3 linked regions of the Coturnix japonica genome follow. The protein of the gene in region 2 purifies or fractionates together with the protein of the main gene of each other region. This does not show direct contact. Links are inferred from orthologs where the notes say so. Each region holds a gene or a part of one and is shown on either strand. Other genes may lie near its edges.

What was found. The genes of interacting proteins can lie anywhere in the genome.
Region 1: the proteins of melatonin receptor type 1A (region 2) and GNAI2 purify together in Homo sapiens (tandem affinity purification; 3 studies listed by BioGRID and IntAct, with this or other methods). This does not show direct contact. The link is inferred for Coturnix japonica from reciprocal best matches to the Homo sapiens genes MTNR1A and GNAI2.
Region 3: the proteins of melatonin receptor type 1A (region 2) and GNAI3 purify together in Homo sapiens (tandem affinity purification; 3 studies listed by BioGRID and IntAct, with this or other methods). This does not show direct contact. The link is inferred for Coturnix japonica from reciprocal best matches to the Homo sapiens genes MTNR1A and GNAI3.

The regions. Positions count from the first base shown.
Region 1 is NC_029527.1:2,014,373-2,022,071, forward strand, and holds the start of GNAI2 (guanine nucleotide-binding protein G(i) subunit alpha-2), read right to left. Parts: upstream 3,956-7,699; 5' UTR 3,883-3,955; coding exon 3,765-3,882; intron 1-3,764. Other genes in the region: SLC38A3 (sodium-coupled neutral amino acid transporter 3), read right to left, coding at 5,595-5,699, 5,909-6,012, 6,094-6,238, 6,423-6,547, 6,638-6,738, 6,805-6,884, 6,961-7,128, 7,203-7,261 and 1 more. UniProt on the Homo sapiens protein: Guanine nucleotide-binding proteins (G proteins) are involved as modulators or transducers in various transmembrane signaling systems.
Region 2 is NC_029519.1:55,459,176-55,465,311, forward strand, and holds the end of melatonin receptor type 1A, read right to left. Parts: intron 3,547-6,136; coding exon 2,678-3,546; 3' UTR 175-2,677; downstream 1-174.
Region 3 is NC_029541.1:1,608,823-1,616,665, reverse strand, and holds the start of GNAI3 (guanine nucleotide-binding protein G(i) subunit alpha), read right to left. Parts: upstream 3,956-7,843; 5' UTR 3,820-3,955; coding exon 3,702-3,819; intron 3,227-3,701; coding exon 3,184-3,226; intron 3,109-3,183; coding exon 2,967-3,108; intron 2,552-2,966; coding exon 2,394-2,551; intron 647-2,393; coding exon 518-646; intron 1-517. Other genes in the region: GPR61 (G-protein coupled receptor 61), read right to left, coding at 4,662-5,885. UniProt on the Homo sapiens protein: Heterotrimeric guanine nucleotide-binding proteins (G proteins) function as transducers downstream of G protein-coupled receptors (GPCRs) in numerous signaling cascades.

The DNA of each region.
Region 1 (7,699 bases), on a different chromosome or scaffold from region 2:
CCACCTGGCTGGGCACAATCCACACTGACCCTGAGCATCTCCAAAGCGTATCCCTGCCCGGCACATCATCCCAGTCCACAGAGCTACCCCTATAGCTCCCCCCCCACTCTGCTGGCCCTATGGCACTGTTAATGGGGTGCAGGCATGACCCCGAGCCCGCTGTGGGAGCCCATGCCGGGAGGAGTGTGGGCGCACACGTGCGGAGCCGCGGCCTCCAAACCCGGCGTTGAGTCACAGTAGCTGCAGGGAAGGCATTTTTTCCTTTCGTAATCCCTGTTCAGCAGGAGTGCTCCGGTACCTCATTAACTCTAATAACCCCAGCCGGAGCGGTGCCACCCCACAGCACCCGCAGCAGCAGATCACAGCACAGCTGGGCAGTGACGTGGCACAGGCACAGCCCTTGGGCACGTGCAGAAGCTGGGAGTGCAGCCACCAGGCTGCCATGCCATCTCTTCCAAATCCGTTCCTTTGCCTCACGACCAGCCCAATAGGCCACTGGAGCGGTCACTGGTGGCACAGGGATGTGAGTAATGGGAGACGGAAGCCACGTGGTGCTCAGGGAAGCCAGCAAGCCATATAGAGGGGACAGGGATGGGGACAACCATATGGTGAGGGGAAGCTCCCAATCCCCGGAACACACCGGCTGCCGGCCATTCAGCCCCGACACAATCCATAGGCTGAGTGCCAGGCAGCACACGCTTCCGGAGCAGGGCAGCTTCCCACTGCTGGGCAGGACAGAGCGCTTCAGGGCTGGGGTTGTGGCTCTGCACCCCAAAGCATCGCTCCCATCTGTCCCACAGGGCCAGGTCCCAATGGGCACAGAGCCCAGGGCCCCAGGGATGCAGCCATGGTTGTTCCCAGAGCATACTACAAAAACAGGAAACAATCACCATCATCCACGAGGGGACAGGGATGGGTGAGGAGGGATGGGGTCAGCAGGGACAGTCCCAAGGCACCAGCTACGTCCCAGCCACCAAATGGGGTTTTCAAAGCACTGCACCAATAGCTGGGTGAAAACCACCCAGAATAAAGGGGGGTGAGGAGGAAAGAGGGGACTCCACATTTTCCTTCCTATCTAAAAGAGCTTTAAAAATAATTGCATGTAAGAAAAGTAAGAAAAAACAAACACAAGAAACCCCACAGCAATGCTGCGTGCTTTTCCAAGCAGCTGTCGGCCCCAGCACAGAGCTGGCCACCCTCCAGCAGCACCCAGGGCTGCCCAGGCTGTGGGGTGGGCACAGACCCCATATGGGGGGGGGTTACATAGGAACAGCCCCCCCATCACATTGAGGTGTGAGCACAGTGCCACAGCCTGGACCTGGGGGGAGTAATTGGGGGTGTGCAACTTGGTGAGGGTGCAAAGCTACATCCATGGCCGCCGAGGGAGCAGATGCAACAAAACAACCCGTTGTGGGGAGGGTGTGTGGGGCTGACAGTTGGAGGGTTTGGGCTGGGCGTACTTTGGGCTGGGCACAGCCCTCTCCACACCCCCGCTGGCTTTCCGAGCTGGACAAAGCTATTCCTGTGCCTTTTTCCAGGAAAGAAGGGAGCGTTCTCCTCTCTTTCTGGCCTTGAAATCCCAGGGATGCCACATCTCTCCTGGTGTGGCTCACAGGCCCCGTCAGGTTTCCCTTAGAACCATCACCCCTGTTAAAGCCCTGCACCTCCCTGCAACCCCATGTCACCAAAGGGCTGCAGCAGAGCGTGGGGTGGGGAGCAGGGAGGAAGGAAAACCCGCGGGTGCGTGAGGCAGCGCCGGAGCTGAAAGCAGCAGCCGGTGCCTCCCTTCCTCTGCTGCTGAGCACACAGACGGAGCCACAGAGCCCAGCGCCCCCACCCTGCGACGGAACCATCCCAACAACGGGGCTGAAACTGCACCCTCAGCACTGAGCACAGCGTGCCCCAAAGAGCCCCCCACTGCAAACCCAGCCATGTGCCCTGCAACCAGCTTTGTTTGAGGGCAACATCTGCATCTGGGGCTTCCCAAACGCTTTCTAAGGCAGAGATCCCCAAGAGCGAAGCCAAGGAATCTCTCTTCTTCCTTAATGCCAAGCAGGCGGTGTGGTTTAGGGCTGTTAGCACTGTGTCCACAAAGCCCACGGGGCAGCTGCGGAGCATCAAGGAGCGCATCCCAAATGCATCCAGCTTTAGGGGATGGTGGGGGGTCTCCTCTCTGTGCTGCTGCCCACAGGTCCTGCGCCCACCGACAGCCCCTGGGGCTGCTCCATCAAACCGACACAACAGCCAGAAAGGGAGAAACTCGGGGAGGTGGGCGCAGAGCAGCAGGACGGGCGGGCAGCCCCCATCCCCCAAACACCAACAGCACTTTCAGCAGCAGCACAGAGGATTCTGCAGGACCACGGTTTCACTTCCGCCTGGAGCAGGGCAGCAGCTGGGGGCTGTGCTGTGCTCTGTGCTGTGCTCTGTGCTGTGCTGTGCTGTGCTCTGTGCTGTGCTCTGTGCTGTGCTCTGTGCTGTGCTGTGCTCTGTGCTGTGCTCTGTGCTGTGCTGTGCTCTGTGCTGTGCTCTGGGGATGCGGATGCAGCTGGGGGGGTTCCAGGACAAGCTGAGGGGCTCCAAGCACCGTATGGGGACCCACCAGGAGCCATCCCAGTGGGCTCTCAAGTCCTTTCCAGACACATTTCGGTTTAGAAAGCAGCACCGAGAGCTCAGGGCCTTCGATACTGTTTACACTTGAACAGCTGCTGAGGCAGGGGAAGGAATCAAAAAGACTAAAAAATGGAGCTGTTTCGCTCTATTTTTGGCTTTAGAAACCCACCGAGATCAGTAACCGGAGCCTCACCCTGCAACAAGGAGCACAACCACGCTGCTCCCAGCCCCGCATCGCTGCGCCCCATCCCGAGATGGGGAACCCTACGGCCTGGAGCCGAACGCATCCCTCCGAGCGAGGCCGAGCCCACGGCAGCCCCAGCAGCGGGGTCTCAGCCCCACGCGCCCGCCCCAAAACGCCGCGGGGTTCCGTCCCGAGCTGCCGGTGCTCCCGGTGCTCCCGGTGCTCTCTCCCGTTCCCCTCGCACCGATAACCCGACCCCCACGGCCCGGCCCCACCGCCGCACCCCGCCGTGGGGAAGCACCGTCGCGCTCCGCCCTTCTCCGCTCATTCCGCGCTCGTCGAGGCGGACGGTGTTGGAGCGGATCGGCCGCTGCCTGATTGCACCACGACTTCCTGCTGCTCTCGGCTTCCTCTCTTGAAGGAGGCGACGAGAAAAGACATTTTGTGCCGGCGTTTCCCCCCGACGGCAGCGGGGGGGGGCGAGGGGGGAAAGGAGGGATGCTCCTCCCGATCCCATCCAGCGCCCCGGGGCTGCATTAAGGGACCCCCATCCCCAGAGATAACAGCGAGATGGGAGAAAATAAACGCTGCGTTTCGGGCCGGAGCGGGGGGGGGCGGCTCCAAACAGCAACAGAAACAGCGAGGGGAGGGATGGGGGGATGGAGGGATGGAGGGATGGGGGGATGGGGGGATGCCCGCGGGTTCTGCATCCCACCCGGGGCCTTTGCGATGGGGACCCGGGGGCGTGGCTGACCCCGCAGCACCTCGGGTGGGAGGGCGGGGGGTTGAGAAGGGAACCCCCGGGGATGCGGGGGGTCGGCGGGGAGCTGGAAGTTGAGGGTTGTCCCAAAAGAGGGTGGGAAATCACGGGTGGGGGAATCGCGCCGGAGCCGCCCGAGGGACGGCGATGGAGGGGGGTGCGGGATGTAGCGGGGGGGACGGATGCCCGGGGGGCGGCGGCCACGCTCACCCAGCAGCAGCAGCTTCACCTCCCTGGCCGCCTTCTCGCCGTCCTCCCGCAGGTTGCGGTCGATCATGCGGGAGCGCTCGGCGGCCGCCTTGTCCTCGGCGCTCACCGTGCAGCCCATGGCGGCGCCCCTCGCTCCGCGCTCTGCCGGCACTGCCCTGCCCTGCGCGGCGCGGGCGGGGCGGGGAGGGGCCTGTGGGGAGGGCGGGGGTTCCGTCGGGGGGCGTGGAGAGAGGAAAGGGAAGGGGACGGGCTGGGTGCGCTGGGTTGGGCTGTGATGCGATGTGATGTGATGCAGTGCGGACAGATGTGGGCTGCGCCATCGGTGATCCCCGGCACAGATGTGCACAGGACCACGTTCATTCCGCAGGACAGATGTGGGGCAGGCCGTGCTGTGAGCAGGACAGATGTGGGGCAGGCCGTGCTGTGAGCAGGACAGATGTGCAGTGAGTAGCTGTGGGTCCTTTCAGGGCAGGCATGATGCACAGCGCCACGTGCCCCACAGCAGACATGCCCAGGGCACGGGGTGTCGGTGGTGGCGGTGCAATGGGACGCGCTGTGACCCAGACTCTCCTTCTCCATCCCCACCGTGGCTCATTCTGCCACATCTCACGGCTTCACAGCACGGAGCCACCCCCGGCGTCCCCGCTCCGCTCGCCAGGCTGAGCTCCCCATTGCACCCCGTTTCCCAGAGCCGTGAATCCCAAACCCCGCTTTGTCGCCGTTCTTGCTGGCGCTGTGTCCCCACTCCCAGCCCCAGCATCGTACTCGGGCCTCCCCGGACACCCGTCCGTGCTGTCCCCGCGGTCCCCCCCCCCCCGCCCCACACCGGGCACGTCTCACATTTGTATCCTTTATTATTACTTTAACGGATCCGCTCGGTCGCGCTCCTCCTGCACGGCGCTCATCCCCACATATAATTTAACAGCGCGGCGGGGTGGGGGGGCCGTGGGTGCGGGGACACCGGGGTGACACGACGAGCACCGCCCCGATCCCGCACACGGTTCGGAGCTCCCGAGAGCCGCGCGACACATTAAAAAAGAACTACTCTTATATACAGTATTTATAAAAAGCATCCCAGCCTCCACCACCCCCATATAAAAATAGGTCTCTTATTTACTTGGCGAGCCCCCGGCCCCCCCTCACCGCCTGCTCGCATCCCCCGCGGCCTGGCCCTTGGCGTGGCTGGGAGCTGCCCATGGCATGGACGGACAGACGGGTGGGTGGTGGGAGGACTGCGGGGCCGAGTGGTGCCCATCACCCTGGTGTCAGGGAGCATCCCACAGCCCGAGCTGTGCCGCCCCACGTACCTCCGTGCCCCACACCAGCACCCATGTGGTGCACCCACCCCAATGCCGGCAGCACCCGGCCCTGGCACGTGTCACCTTCCCCGAGCTGGCCCCTGGATCATCAGGTTCCCACCCAGTGGCACCGGGACCAGCCATTCCCTGGGCACCACATGCCAGCGAGGAGCTGGCAGTCAGGGGGTGAGGACAGCAGAGGACATGGGGGTGGCACGGGCACTGCTGAGGTGCTGGCCACCAGCCCTACAGACACTGCTGTCAGGACTTGGGGCCAGCTGAGGACAAGCGGGTGCCTGTGGGCCAGGCTGGCCCCGTCCCCTCGGCCCCTGGTGAGGTAGGGAAGCGCTGGTCTCCCCATTGCACAGATGAGGAAACTGAGGCGCGGAGCCAGGAGGGGTGGGCACGGTCTGGGGTCCCCCATATGCCCCCTCAGGCAAAGGGCAGGCGGCAAAGATGGGAGCCCCGGGGGGTCCTGGTGGGGACTGGGGGGGGGGGGGGGGGGGGGGGTCGGGGGGGGCAACCAGGGTGGCTAGTGGCTGCCGCCACTCCGTCCCCCCCCTGTGGCCCAGTCGGTGATGATGAAGCTGAGGCTCATGATCATGAAAAGCACCCCGAGGAGAGCGAAACAGGCAGCCTGTGGGAGACAGAGACAGAGAACAGGGTGGGGGCTGCCCCTTGTGCCCCATGGGGAGCAGGGAAGAGCTAGAGTGCCCCCACCCCACTGAGAACCCAGGAGACCCCATCCCTCCCTTGTCCCCGTGCCTTCATCCCCACATCCCCTGCGTCACCCCACAGGGCCAGCAGTGCAGTCCCTACAGCCTGGAGTGGGGACCCAGGGCTTACCAGGATTTTGGGGGTGGAGCGCAGGGGCTCCTTGTCCTTGGGCATGATACGGATGTAGAAGATGGCCGGGAAGATGAAGATGAGGCAGGGGGCAGAGGTGGCACCTAGGGCAGGAAGGGACCAGTGGGCAGGGTGAGCCCTGGGGGACAGCTGGGTGACAGGGACGGGGCAGTGCTGCCACTCACCAATCAGCCCAAAGATGCCAAGGATGGAGGGGGCAAAAATGACCAGGAGGTTGATGAAGGTCAGCAGGATCACAGCGATGGCGATGTGGCGGATCCAGCTGAAGTTCTTGCCTTGGAACAGCATCTGCTGGATAGCACGGCGCACCTGGGGACACGGGGACATGTCACACACCATCCTCAGAGCCATCCCATCCCTGCAGGGCCGTTGGTGCCTGTTAGACCTTCCCATCCTTGTCCCCAGGGCACCATCCAACTGCTGCCTCAGTTTCCCCTCACACTTCTGAGGGATGAGCAGAGCTGGCCACAGGGTGACCCATGGTGACACTCACCGGGAACAGGACGATGGGGACAGTGAGTGTCACAGCTGTCAGCACGGCCACCCGCACGCAGAGGATCAGCACATCAAAGGGGTCCACCCGGCTGTAGGTGTGCAGCAGCTCCGACTCCACGCGCCCTGCAGCACCAGGGATGTGGGTCAGCACCACCACCACCACCCCTATGGGTGTCCCCATTGTTTCCCCATGACCCTGACCCCACAGCTCACCATAGAACGTGAGGTAGCCAAAGAGGGCGGCCAGGAAGTACATGAGGTACATGACGGTGATGGAGATGTTGGAGATGCACTGCATCTTCTTCTTGGAAGGGCTGTGGGAAGTGGGTGTCAGCACGGCCTCCCCACACAACTTCCCCCCAAGCCCCACCACCACTCACTCCTTCAGCTCTGTGTAGATGGGCAGCACCTCGGGGTGACACACGAAGGCGAAGGCCATGATGGGGATGGTGTACGCTGTCTGCAGAATGTGCAATGAGTGCTGGGAACCCATTGCCAGTGCCCCCCAGGAGCCCCCACTGTGGAATCAAACCTACCTGGGAGTTGAGGGTGAAGAAGTTTGGGGTGCAGGCCTCCACCTCGGGGGGCAGTGGAGCTGCAGGGCCATCCCAGTGCTCGCCACCCAGGGAGGCGTTGATGCCAATGGTGATGTTCCCCTCTTGCTCAGGCAGCGGGCAGGGAATTTGGAACTTCTTGTAGATGACCTGGGGGGGACTCTGTGTCAGCGGGGGGCTCTGGGTGCCCCCTCACCACAGTGACATCCCTGCCCTGTGCTCACCGAGATGAGGAAGAAGACCATGCAGCTGAGCGAGAAGCCACTGGCGTAGCCCAGGTAGCCTGGGGGGAGAGGAGAGCAATGGGCACAGCCACCATCCCCCCCAAGTCCCATGCCCACTCATGCCCCCACTTACCCAGCTGCTTCATCAGGGCCAAAGGCAGGATGATGGTGACGGAGACCAGGATCACCAGGTAGTTCCCGTTCAGGTACCAGTCCCTGGAAGCAGAGACAAGGACATACTCACACCCGATGTAGGATGCAAGCTTCAGAGGACCCCTCTGCCCTCTACAGGGCTGGCACCCCTGAAATCTTTGGCCTGGCACCCGTGGTCCTCTGAGCCTGTGTGCCCAGGAATATAGGCACCCCCTTGAGGCCATGAAGCATCCCTGCACCAGCATCATCTGTGGGGACATGTGAGATGGCAGATCCAGGGATAGCTGATATGGCAACCCCTGGGGCTGGATCTCTCTGCTGTGGGACCCCAAGGCCAACATCTC
Region 2 (6,136 bases):
CCCTTATTAACGTGTCTCAGAACGTCAGTAAGAGTAGAAGTAATCTGAAGAATCTGAATCATATTAATTTAAACTACATTGTAAAGTCTAACACACTTCCCTCCCCCAAAGAAGAACAAGAGATTAATTTCTTAAAGTTATTGCTATATTTATCAGCTCATAACATCACCACCATGCACAATTCCGTGATTTAGATATAATACAAATATTTCAAAATATCAGATCTGAAAAAATGCTCTCCATTTCAATTACAGGCCTATTCAATAAAATATATACCTTTGGTATAATATGTTTTATTGCATATAGCAAGCCATTTTCATTATCATCAAAAATATACTTTAGCACTTGTGAATTACAGGGGACCAATTCCTCAGAAAACCCACAATTTTGAATCAGCTCATAAATACATAGACATGATAAGCATATACATTTTCTGTTCTCAATGGCAAGTGAAAAATATTTGAGAATTCTAAACTTACTGATGATTAAGCTTACTGTCTTTATGCTAATTTATTAGAAGCATTGTAAGACATCATTTTCATTGAAAATACACTTTAAATAAGGCAAGTTTGTAAGAATTTGAATAGTGCTTTTTCTTACATGAAGAATTTATTTTCTTATACGGTGGTCATGCCTCCCTCCCTAATCTGAAATCAACACACACAAAGCAACAAAACAGAGCAAAGCATCCTCTGAGGATGAGATCACAGTGAAAAAAACTGTGATATAGTTTATGCTGTTAATCATGTTGTATCATACTGCATCATATGATGATACCACAATAGAACAGAGCTGGTTATTTACACAGTGGTTCTGACTGGCAAATGTAAACAAAGATGAGTCAAGCATCTCAGTAATGCTTTGACTGGCTAGTTAATCTGCAGAGTTTTAGATGTTCATTAGTTCCAGCTTGACATAACCAAGTGAGAACATGAGGCACCTATGTTTAAGGTAAGAAGCTGATCATTGACAAAATGTCAGTGGGGTTTCAAGTAAATATGAATATGTTCTCTTTAGTTCATTACTAATATTAAGTCAAATGTACACTAATCTATGATCCAAGAAAGAGGAGTTGCTGTTAGATTTCTAGACAGATTAAGGAATTATACAAATATAGTGTGGTTGTTGGTTTCTAAGACATATAAATTGAAGAAAAACTCCAGCACAGCAAGTAATGAATTGCTTAGATAAGTCTGCTTTTCAATACAGAAAATTTGTACAGGCTATTTAGGAACTCTTAGTACAGTTGAAGTGACTGGAATTGGCTTGGAAAAGCTCAGACGTAATTGAACGTTGTTACAGGTATGAACACTTGAGTACTAAAAGGTATCACAGTTGCAGTATCTTTCCAGAGTTAAATATTTCTTCTCTATAAGCTCAGCTTGAAGGTGAATCCAATTGTCCTCCTCTATCAGAGGGCATATTTTTATCAACAGAGATGCATTGTTGGAGGAGACATGCTGTCTAGGTATACTTTGACATTTCACAGTGTGCTTCCTCTCAATGAAAAGGCACCTGCTGTCTGTGGAAAGTCCACATAACAGGTCCTGTCCTGAGAGTCATGTATTTCTCCTTCCAGCAGCAACATAAGTAGCATTTTCTCTTTATTATTTAGATGTGTTTAATTGTTCTAGGTGAGTATTATTTTTATAACTGTGGTAAACTATGATTATTTAAAAAAGCTTATCTATGACAGATTACAAAATAACCTATAAATCTTATACTATGACCAGGAGATCAAGTTGAGAAAGATGTCACATGTTCATTCTGTAAATATTTGTAATTTCCCAGAGTGTAATGAGATTATGACTCAACTAATCAGACAAAATGCCATTCTTACCCACTGTCACTTTTAAAAGCATAAGTCTTCTGACAAAGGCTCAGAAATTCCTTACCACACAGAAGTGAGAAATACTGTTTCTTCCTTGCTTAAGTTTTTAGGACGTGTCTCTCCAGAACCTCTTTTGGGGAACTTTCCAATTTTGTGAATTACTATGTCTTCAGAAAGAAGTGGTGTTTTGTATTTTTCTCCACCTCTCACAAATGGCTTGAGAAGATGAATCATATCACTTTTCTTTCTTTCCAGTCTATCCTCCCCTCTCTGTAGCTTTGATAAGAATAACTCTGTTACATTTCTTCCCCTGAAAACTATTTTGAGTTTGAGAAGTCGGTTGGGAATGCCATTGCTCGGAGGCCTGGTAAGGTTTAAAGTAAATAATTCTCAGAGCATGTTCCCTAAAATACGACCAGATTTCATCTTTCAAAATAACTTATCTGAGAGTTTTGAACTGGGATTGTTACTTGGCCAAAAGATGCAGGTAGAGAGCAGTGAGAATAGTTTTGTGGCTTCTTTCATTGAGCCAGGTAATATGGATATTTCTATTTCATTCTATCTTTGCTATCTCCGTTTGAGAGGAGAAAAAAAAAGTATCCATGCACAATTTGTATTGTAATTCCCTCAAGGATATCACTGTGTTATTATATGAGAGATCTACCACTGTATAACAATATCTTAAGTAAAGACTCTGTAACTTGAGTTCCCAAATATCATGCAAAGATTTTGATCAAAGTGCCTTCACTGTAGAATAGAGAGTTCAGTATAATATCCAACAGTAGGTCTAATGAAACAGATTCTTTATTTGGATGCTGTGGAGTGAAAGCAATAAGGTTCCCATTTTCACACAGAGTCCACCTTCACTTGATTGTTGTTTGTAATCAGCGGAGAAGGTTTACTTCTTATCCTGTCTGCTGCATCATTAGAACTGTCCTGGAAAAAAGCTTTTGCTGTACAAAAACTGACAATAATTTTCTTATATTCTCTTCTGAAGTTCTGGTTCAGGAGTCCATATATGATGGCATTAAGGCAGCTGTTGAAATATGCCATGTAATAGCTAGACACAAACAACCACTCTGGGATCCTAGGTATTATGGTTTCTGGGTCCACAGCCACAGCAAGGCCAATGAAGTTCAAAGGAGCCCAGCAGACTGCAAACAGTACAAATACCACAAACATGGTTACAAAGTTTCTGAAGTCATGTGGTTTCAGTCTGGGGTTGTTGTCTGGTTTAACCCTTCGTCTTACCTGAATAACAAGGATCCATATTCTCAAGTAACAGTAAGTAACTATGGCTATGGGAAGCATGAAGTGGAAAAACACCACTGCTATTGTATATGCTGAACTCACAGACTGTGCAAATGTACACGAGTAAATCCTGGGGTCATACTGTAAAGATCCCACAAACAGGTTGGGTACAATAGCAACAACTGTTAGGACCCAGATAAGAGCAACATAGCACAAAGAATTCTTGTCGCTGTACAGCTTGTCATATTTGAGACTGTGGCAGATATAGCAGTATCGATTGATAGCAATGCCAGTAATATTGAAAATCGACCCAATGACGCTTAATCCCATCAGGAACCCACTTATCTGGCAGTGAACGTTTCCCATAGTCCATCCATTGTGAAATACAGATGTGAGGACCAGTGGATATGGATAGATTGCTACGACCAAGTCTGCAATTGCCAGGCTTACCACAAATATATTTCCTGTAAAATAAATATAAAAATACATGTATTAGTCTCTCATTTGCTCTCTTCCATTGCTTCTGATCTTAATATATTAATGACCAGCCTTAGTGGAACACTTTGTATTTAATTAATTTCTAGTTTCTAGGTAGAAATTATTTGTTCACAGCTTCTCTTCTTTTTTTTAAAAACAACTACTACATATACATATATGTGTCATGGTATTCATGTCCATATCAACAAAAATATATAAATGTATGCATGTACATGCATGTGTATACAATACAATTACAGGTATATACACGTGTTTGTGTATAAGCGCATGTTAAGATTACTCACAGAAGATTAAATTTAAGCTATTGCAACCTCTAAGAAAATATACTACTAGCTCATTAATAATCCAAATCAGCGTTGGTAAACCATTTTATGTATTTACCTTGAGCAGAAAAAAATAGTTATTTAGCTAAGGATTCTACTTATTCCCCTATTTTCAAAGTTTTGATTCTAGCATGAAATACGATGTTTGGCATTTATACTCATAGCAGTCGGGATAAATGGCCTCAGAAGATAGTTTTCTTAGATTTTGTATCTAGATTTAGAGATGTCCCTCTTTCTATGGTCTCCATAGTTTCTTCTTTTGCCTGTGAATTCACTGCCAGGCTGAAATATGCTTATCCTGTAGGCTTTAGCACAATTCCATATCATTTCAGTAGTAACATCAGTGCTCCCTGAAGCAGAAGCTCTGTGTTTTAATTAGGAATTCAGAAATTGAAATGGGACTAACAGTTGGTAGTGGTGAGTTTCCACTGCTTCAAATGCTGTATATTTAAAGAAATAGCTCAGATAAATTCTAGATGGTAAAAAGAGATGGGACCTTGTTTAAAGAATACTTGAAGGATCCTGTTTACATTTGCTTATAGATTTTTTGCACAGTGAAGACTGCTCATCTCAGACCTTTATGCTATCCAGCACTTCTTCTTCTGGTGATCTACATGAATACTGTCATTATTGTCAGTATTGACACACTTGATACAAAAGGTTCAGCTATTGATAAGAGATATGTCAAAAGAAGCATGGGTTTACTTTTTTTTTTTTTTTTTCCTGATTTGTTTTAGAATAGCATTGAAAAACAAAAAAACAAAACAGTCTAGGAAGTGTAGGCCCTAACAAATTTGGGATCCATGCTAATTCCAGCTGTTCTTTCCAGTAGACTGCCGTAGACCCCAAAACCCTGAAAAGCGAGAAAAAGACAAGCTGTTTCATAAGGCACTGGGAGGCCAAGCTGGGAACCTATCTTTTCAGAAATTTGTGAACCTGGAAACCAAACTCTCTGTGTTCACCTGGCTAGCAGTCAAGTCTAGCCTTGGGCTAGAAAACTACTGGGAAACCAAATGCTTTCTTGCATTTAACTTGCCTTTTAGGAATGCTTGTCTTCAGATTTGAGTTCTGATTCATTTTCCTTGCGAGTATAGAAACTTCAAGTAAAACTTGTTTGGATTTAGTTTGTTTGTTATGTGTTTTGAAGTCCATTGTTTCAGATTCTGATGTGGGATCTGAAATAGTAATGACTTTTCACATGTTGCATAGCTCTTGCTTTAAAAATAGGAGCCTTGATTTAGGCATCCACTGTTACTGGAAAATACTCAATGAAATTCCCATATATTTAATGGTATATTGTGAAAATAAAAATTCTTATGTTTGTGGAGCATTGGTATTGTAGTGGTGAGTATCATAATACATAAATAAATAAATAAGATATAGGAATAAATCAGCTTTTATCCTCAGAGTTGGGTTTGAACAGAAATAATGAAATGAAGTCTAAGAAAGAAATAAGTAAATGAAGTCTGAAGTTCCATGTTGAGCTGTTTTCAAAAAATCCAGCCACATCATCAAAGTCCTTGGTAGTTCTTCACTGAACAAAAACTAGTCTTCTTCCTAAGAGGTTAAAATTAGGTTGCTGGGAAAAAATTTGATTTATGTAAGTGAAGAACTCGTTACCAAGCACCAACACAAGTTGGCTGAAAAAGAATGTAGAGTTTAGCTTCTTGTCTTTTCAATTTAATAAGTTTAAGCAGCTGTTGTTGTATGGATGTATGCGAGAAGACAATCTAATGATCATTGACTTTATTAGCCTGTTCTTTTAAATGCAATGTAAAGCAATGTTCTGTTAAATACTAAAAAAAGGAAATTATTCTGCTCAGCAAACAAGTAGCAACATCAGAACTACCTGCTAAATTAAAAAAACAAAACAAAACAAAACAACAACAAAACCTGCAGTAAAGCAATAGAAAATAAACAGATACTTTTCCAGACAACTCAACTTCTCAAAGAGCACAACATAAAATGAATATAAAAATTGTGACCTTGGCAAATTATAAAAATACATGGGTTATTTATTGTCCCAGTGTCAAAATTAATAACTTGGCATCAAATAAGAACTATATGATGTTGTGTCAATGGCAAGTAGCTACTTGCTAAATTACTGTGTGGGTTAATTTTCCCTAGATAAGGTATTAAATAGATCGAGAAAAGAATGGGAATTAGTATGTCTGCAGAAATTTCCAGAAATTTAAGTTCAAGATATTCATGGGAAAATATTACAATTGCTTAG
Region 3 (7,843 bases), on a different chromosome or scaffold from region 2:
ACAGCACGGAGGGCTAAGTGCTAAGGGCAGGGAGCTCAGCTGCACTCCAACAGCTGCTATGGGGTTAGAGGGAGCTCTGTGGGTCACACTGACAGGGATGCTGGCCAGACATACAGAGGGCCAGGAGTCCCTCACAGCTCTGCTGGATGCGCATGGCAGCACCACGTGCCCAGAGCCAGGGCCTAAGGGACAGCCCTCACCTCCCATGTCAAAGAAAAGGGGGTTACACTCAAACTCAGCAGCCAGGAGTCAGCGCCCTTTTAGTATTAGTTGCTGTTCTGCTCCTGTGAACAAGCACTCAGTACCTGCGTCTGCGAGTCCAACATAAAAGCAGCTGGAAAGAACAGAAGAAGGCAAAGAAAAGTCAAACCAGAGAGCAGTGCTGGCACAGGGGGAGGCGCTTTGCTGGGGGCGTGGAACCTCCCCCCACCCCTCTGAGCACTGAGGAACTCACTGCAGCCCATAGGAGCCTATAGGATCCCATAGGAGCCTATAGGAGCCCATGCTCTTGGCTTACTTGAAGTAGAGGTCCTTGAAGGTGAAGTGTGTCTCCACGATGCCCGTTGTTTTCACCCGGGTGCGCAGCACATCCTGCTGAGTCGGAATGTAGGTCGGCTGGGATATTCTATCCAAGTCGTTCAGGTAACTAAACCAGAAGAGACAACACCGGGGGGGGGGGTGTTTGGTTGGTTCCTTTTTTAGGCCGCGCTCTCGCTATGAATCTTTTATGAACTGCAGGAGAAAGTCATCACTGAATGTATTCAATGCAGACCTCAAACACGCAGCAAATAGACACGAGCTCCCACGGCTCTGCCCTCGGGGGGGTTGTATTAATTCCCCCCCCCCCAACACGACCTTGCAGTGTGTGCTGGGAGCAGTGCTGGGCAGCAGGGCAATGCAGGAGGAGCTGCTGGAGGAGCCGTGCCAAGGCTGTTATCTCTCAGGGCAATGCAAAGCAGTCAAGGTTTTTTTGCATCAAAGTGCGAGGCAATAAATCCAGCAGCTCACTTTAAAGGGCAAGGATGCATCAAACGAGGCAGCAGGAAGGAATGCAGCATAAAGAGCAGGCAGGTTCATTCACAACCTTCAGCAAGGCCAGCTGACAGCCAGGGCTGCCCCATGGTGGCTGTGGGGAGGACTCACAGCAGGTCAGGGCAGCCCACAGCCTCCTCCTGCTGCCCACCACCACATCCAGGTTCGCTGGATACAATAAAAGCCGCTGCACCCCACACTGCCTGCAGCCCTTCTGCAGCCTCCTCCACCACCAGGCTTCCTCTGTACGCTGAGGTTGCAACACTGCTTCCCCACCTCGCACCCTCATGTTTACAGAGCCAGCTACTTCCCATGCTCTGACGCCATCTGGTAAACACAAGCTTGCAAGAAGGGTGGATTCGGTTCACTTGTTTTCTTTTCTTTACGCCCTGAAATGAGGCTCTGGGAACAGAGCACTGACTGAAAGCCCACAGCACGACTTGTGTCTGCCCTGCTGCTGCTCTGAGCCTCCCCAGCTCCTGGCTCAGTAGCTGTGGGGATCCACGGCTCCGTCCCCATTGGCATCACCCCATCCATCTCACTGCAGCACTGCTCTGCAGCGTGTGCTTCCAACCCTGAGACCTCAGCCCTGCAGGGGAGCAGGAGATAAAGCACCCTTAGGAGTACCATGTACCCACAGCATCACCCACACTATCACCACAGGAAGGGCTGCAGTGTGTCAGTGAGGAAGCTGAGGCTGTAACAGCAGAGATGAAGCGCTCAGGGCTGCGTGCTGGGCAGCAGCTCAGCTGACTGCTCGCTCTGTGCATTAGCAAGGCCGGGTGCTGCAGCAGCAGCCAGCTCCTCACTGCACTCTGCAGCATTTCCTAACAGCCCTGTCTTTCTATTCAATCTGTTCTCTCATTTTCAGCTCTTTCCTCTCCCTTTGAACCTGAAGCTGCTTTCCTGCAAGCATCTCAGAAACGCTCCCCCTGCCAGCTCACCTCCCTTGATCTAAACTCAACATCCTCTGCTGAGCTGTTACAGTTTCAGAAGCGCTCTTGCTTATTGTCGAGCTGCATTGTGCTCTGTGCAGACAGAGCCTGCAGGGAGCCGAGCTGTGACTCATCTCAAGGTTCTTATAAAGCATTTCCAAACTCATTTCTCAGAGGCTTCAAACTTGGCCAGACCACGCAGAGCCACCAGGAAGCACAACCGACCCCACAGCCACCCTTCCTCCTGGGTTTACAAAGCAATGAACACGCAGCTTTCCCCACACAGAAGCAACAGCTGTTTGATAGGGACAGGAACCAAAGGAGCAGCTGCCCTCCTCACATTGGTTATCACAGCACTCACAGCCAAGCAGAGGGCAGCTCCTGCCTGCCCACCCCACCACCAGAAGGGCCCAAGGGGTCTCTTACTACGAGGCAGAGTCGTTCAGCTGGTACTCCCTGGATCTGCTGAAGCAGGCCTGCACTCCAGCATCCCTCCACAGCCTCTTGATCACTCCAGCCAGCTCGGCCGTCATCACCCCTTCCTCTGCACTTCCAGCCAACACAAACAGCTGGCGGGCATCGTCCTGCAGGGACAGGAGGGGGGGTTAAGAAAGGAAATCAAGTTTACAAGCTTAAGGATCACTGCAATAGCTGAGAGGTGAGGGAGCCTCATTTCCTAATGGAGCATTTCATCACGAGGCAGCACATAGAGGGATCAGGATGCTGCTGTGAGCCTCAGTGTGACAGCCCACACCTCCATAGGCTCGCAAGCAATGTGTAGATATGGCAAACAGAGCACAGGGACCAGCCAAAGCTGCTCAATGCTCTGCTTCTATAACACGAGGTGGCTCAGGGACACCTCAGGTTTGTGGTTAATGTTGAGCACTTACATTGCAGACAATGAGGGGTCTCCTGTCAATGCAGACACAGCCCCAATCTCCAGCTCTCATTAACACCATTCAAAGCACAAACACAGAGGGAGATCAATGAAGTACTTACAGCTCTGGCCACCTCTCCAAAGTCAATCTTTAGCCTTCCCATGGCTCTTATGATAGCAATGATGGACTGGATCGTATTGCTGTACACCACCACTTTATACTGCTTGCATTCCTCCTCCGAGTAACCATCCTCATGGATAATCCTAAAGAAAACCGAGCTGTCATTGCTAAACCAAACCAGACCGGCAGCTCAGCGGCACTTCAACCCCTTCACTTACTTCATCTGCTTCACTATGGTGCTCTTCCCAGACTCCCCAGCACCTAAAAAGGATAAATACAGAAGGAAGACCATCACGATTGAGTCAGCAGGAGGCCTGGCTTGCTTTAAAACACCCCCCACAGGGCAGCACTCCCATGGTGGCCACACCGCACCATACGGTGCGGTGCGGCCACCGTGGGAGCGCTGCCCTGGGGGTTCTGATAGGCCCAAAGCCCACAGGCCCATTGGTTCCAATAGGCCCAAAGCCCACAGGCCCATTGGTTCCAATAGGCCCAAACCCCACAGGCCCATTGGTTCCGATAGGCCCAATGCACTTAGACAGATCCCAAGCGCATCCCCACCCCCGCGGCCTACTAGGCCCAGCCCAGCCCCTGCGGCCTACTAGGCCCAATCCAAAGCCTGCGGCCTACTAGGCCCAAATCAGAGCCTGCGGCCTACTAGGCCCAATCTAAAGCCTGCGGCCTACTAGGCCCAGTTCAGCCCCGCGGCCTACTAGGCCCGGTTTAGGCCTCTCACCCAGCAGTAGTAGTTTCACCTCCTTGGCCGCCTTCTCGCCGTCTTCCCGTAGGTTCCGATCGATCATTTTACTCCTTTCTACCGCCGCTTTATCCTCGGCGCTTAATGTACAGCCCATAACGGCGGCTGGGCGGAGGCCGCCGGGCCTTCAAATGGAACGGAACGAAAAGGGACGGAGCGGAACCGAACCGCGCCTCTCCCTCAGCCGGGGCGGCTCCCACAGGCGGAACCGGATATCCGCCCAGAGCGACCGTTAGCCGCAAAGCACGCCGGGAAGCACCGTCCGACAGGGCATTTCCGCCTCGGTAAAGTGGTGCATGATGGGAGCTGAGAGGGCGGAACTTCCGGTGTTGTGTGGATGTATTATGGGAGTTGTAGTCTTGAGATGATTGCGGGGCCTACACAGCCCCCAACCCAACACATAGCCCCCCAACCCAATGCTGAGCCTCCAACCCAATGCTGAGCCCCCCAACCCAATTCTGAGCCCCCAACCCAATGCTGAGCCCCCAACCCAGTGCTGAGCCCCCAAACCGATGCTGAGCCCCCCAACCCAATGCTGTTCCCCTATCCCAATGCTGTGACCCTAACCTGATGCTGAGCCCCCAACCCACTGCTAAGCCCCCAACCCAATGCTGTGACCCCAACTCGATGCTGAGCCCCCCAACCCAATGCTGTGCCCGCAACCCAATGCTGTGCCCCCAACCCAATGCTGAGCCCCCCAACTCAATGCTGTGCCCCCAACCCAATGCTGTGCCCCCCAACCCAATGCTGAGCCCTCAACCCACTGCTAAGCCCCCAACCCGATGCTGAGCCCCCAACCCCACCGTGGAGCCCACACATTGGGTCCCCCACCCCTCCACCCCCTCCCCACGTCCCGCCCCACATCCACACACCCACACCACTCTTCCCTTCCATCCTTGTTTAACACCCGCAGCCGCACACGCTACAGCCCCGCTCTGCTCACGGTGCCCCCCCCGTCCGCTCCGTCCCTTCGGCCGCTTCATCCCCGATCTGTCCCGGGATGCGAAAATCGACGGGCGCCGGTTCCCGTTTGGGGCTGGGGGTGCCCAGAGGCGGCGGGGGCAGCTCTTGGGGGCAGCCGGTGCCCTGTAGGAACTGCAGGAAGTTCTCCTCGATGGAGCCCTCCCGGCTGGGCAGACGCAGGTCCTCCTCGGGGGGCTGCTTGAAGAAGCAGGTGAGGAGCCGGCCCAGCTCACCGCGGATCTGCCGGTTGAGGCACCCGTAGAAGAACGGGTTGGAGGTAAAGCAGAAATAACCCAGCCAAGTGACCACGGTCTCGGCCGCCGGCCCCGCTAAGGGTTGTGCACTGAGCGCCGTGTAGAGGTGGAAGGAGAAATAGGGCAGCCAACAGAATAGGAACTGGCCGCCCACAGCCAGCAAGATGGCGGCCGCTTTGCCCCCTCCAAACGTCCTTTGCGGGGTGGTGCGGGGCGCCCCCGAGCTGGTCACCATGGTGGAACGGCTGCTGAGCGACTCGGAGCGGCGCCGGGGGGTCTCCATCCAGGTGGGAGGGGGGCCGTGATGCATGGCGGCCACGCGAGCCACCTTGAACATGCTGCAATACACCACCACGATGATGAGGAGGGGCAGCAGGAAGTAGAAAGCGGCGAAGAAGACCACGAAGAACTTGCAATACGGACCACGGCTCCATTGCAACGAGCAGCCCCGGCCTGCGGGCGGAGGGCGGTCGGGGGCCAACCAACCCAACACCGGCACCAACGACGTGGCCACGGCCTTTAACCAGACCCCGACCAACACGCAGACCACCAGCCCCACCGTCATCCTCACCTCGTAGCGCATGGGGTGAACCACGTAGTAATAGCGCTCCACGTTGATGGTGGAGATGGACAGGATGCACATGCTGATGAAGCAGACGCTGAGGAACAGGTAGACCCTGCACATGGCTTCACCCAGCACCGGGCTGTCAAATACAGCCGAACCCGACAGCATTTCCAATGGCATCAAGGTGAGAGCGGCCAGGAAATCCACCAGGCACAGGTGGAACACGAAGACGAACTTCCTTAGTGCCGGAGTCTTGACGATGACGGTCATCACGGCCGCGTTGCCCACGATGGCCGTCAGGTCGATGAGCAGCATGAAGAACAGCCCCACTGATCTGGAAGCCACGTCTTTAGCTCTGCTGTCTGTGCCGTTAGGGGGCATGGGGGCTCCTGGGGGTGGCTGTACAACCCAACGGGACCTAAAGCCGCTCCAGCCCCATAGGGAGGGCTCCACGCTGCGGCCGGTCGTCCATCCTTAGGGCTGATGGTGTGGGGTTGTGGGGCATCGCTGTGTGCTCCGATGGCCCCGCGGTGGGTCCTGCAGGGCTCAGTGCACCCGAAGGTGCCCCCAGACCCAGCTCATCTCCCCGCTCCTCTCCGCCGGGCAGCGCTGTGCGGCTGTGGGGAGGGGGAGCCGTCAGCGGGGGGCGCACAGGGGCGGCAAATGGGCCCCATGACACCCCCCACACCTTGTCCCCATCACACTTGTGATGCCCTCCATTATGACCCCCCCCAAACCCCCTTTATTCCCCCAGGGGAAGCCCCCTTGCCTTGAAAAAAATGAGCGATTCTGGGGCTCGAAGCCCCCAAATCCCTGCTTTCATCCCCAATTGCTGCATCGTTACCCACGTGGGGCCGCACCAGGACCACCCCGGGGACCCCCCTGCTCCTGGAGGCCCACATAGAACCCCCCATCTCTGCCCCTCCCCGCTGGGTGCCACCCCCCTATAAAGGCACCGGGGGGGCCTTACAGAGCCCCCCACCCTCCCATCCCCACCCAGGGGGCTCCCATTCCTCAGGGTGTGGGGGGGATCCCTCCCTACACGACCACCCCCCCCCGCCCCACACCACGCACACCCCGGGCATCGCTCCGCCGGTACCGCCGCACTTACCGGGGGGGTCCATGGGCCCGAAGCGGGGCCGGGCGGGGATGCTCGGGGCCGGGGCCGGTGCTGCTGGAGCCGCTGCGGCGTGAGATGCTCCCGCACCGCCGGGATGTTGGGTCCTAAACGCCTCCAGCCCGCACCGCAACGGGAGCCCCCGGCCCCAAAATGGGCCGCTATGGAACGGGGAGCAGGGCCCGGTGTGGGGGGGGGGATGGGGGGGCGGGGGGAAGGAGTGGCTACTTCCAATGGCCCCAAGGGATGGGGAGGGGGGGATGCGGTCGGGAAGGGATGCAGGATGCTCGCAGCATCCCCGTGCTTCCATTCCTGCTGCCCACAATGAGGCCGGGGGGGATGTTGGTGGGGATGGGGGCATCGCTGTGGGGCTGGGGGGGTCAATTGTGGGTATGAGAGGGTCCTCTGGGGGATGGAAGGGTCAGAATGAAGAGTCAGTGTGGGGATGGGGGGCGATGTGGGCCGTGGTGAGGATGGGGGGTCACTGTGTGGGTGGGGATGTTGCCTCCATCCTCGCCCCCCAGGTGGGAGGTGTTGGGGGGTGGGTAAAGCTGTGGGGTGCCGTGTCCCCCCTATGGGCCCTATGTGCTATGCAGCCCCTAAAATAGACCCATCTAAACCAGGTGAGAAATGCAGGACCTCGAATGAACCCACCCCACAGCACCCACAGCTGTGTGCCCCCCCCTAAACCCCAGCATTGTAGGGGGGGGGTCTCAGTGCAGAGTGGGACCCCAACCCCTGGATGCTGGGAGTGGGACCATCTCTGCCCTACACCCCATGAACCCAAAGCATTGCATGGCTCCATGACCCCCCAGATGGGGGGAGACCCCTACCAAGCCCAGGCCTTTCTTTTGCCCCCCCCCCCCCAAAACCCCTCATGAACCACTTGAACCCACAGCACTGTCACCCCGTGCCCCCCCCACCCCCCCCTTTACCCTGTCGCCCCACTGCTGAGCACCCCAGGGTGTTGGGGGGGGGGATGCAAGGGATTAAGAGCCGGATTACAGCAGGGAAATTGAGGACGAGCAAAGGACAGACAGAAATCCCCACCCCAACATCCCGGGGGGGGGCGGTGGGATATAGGGGGGGGTCTGCGGTGGTAGCAGCAATGGGGCTGAAGGGGGAGGGGGGGCACTATGGGGATACCCCGCTCTGCATTGCAAGGCTCCCCTTTAATTGCTTCCCCCCCCCCCCCCTTAAATAAAGAGCTGCATCATCGCGG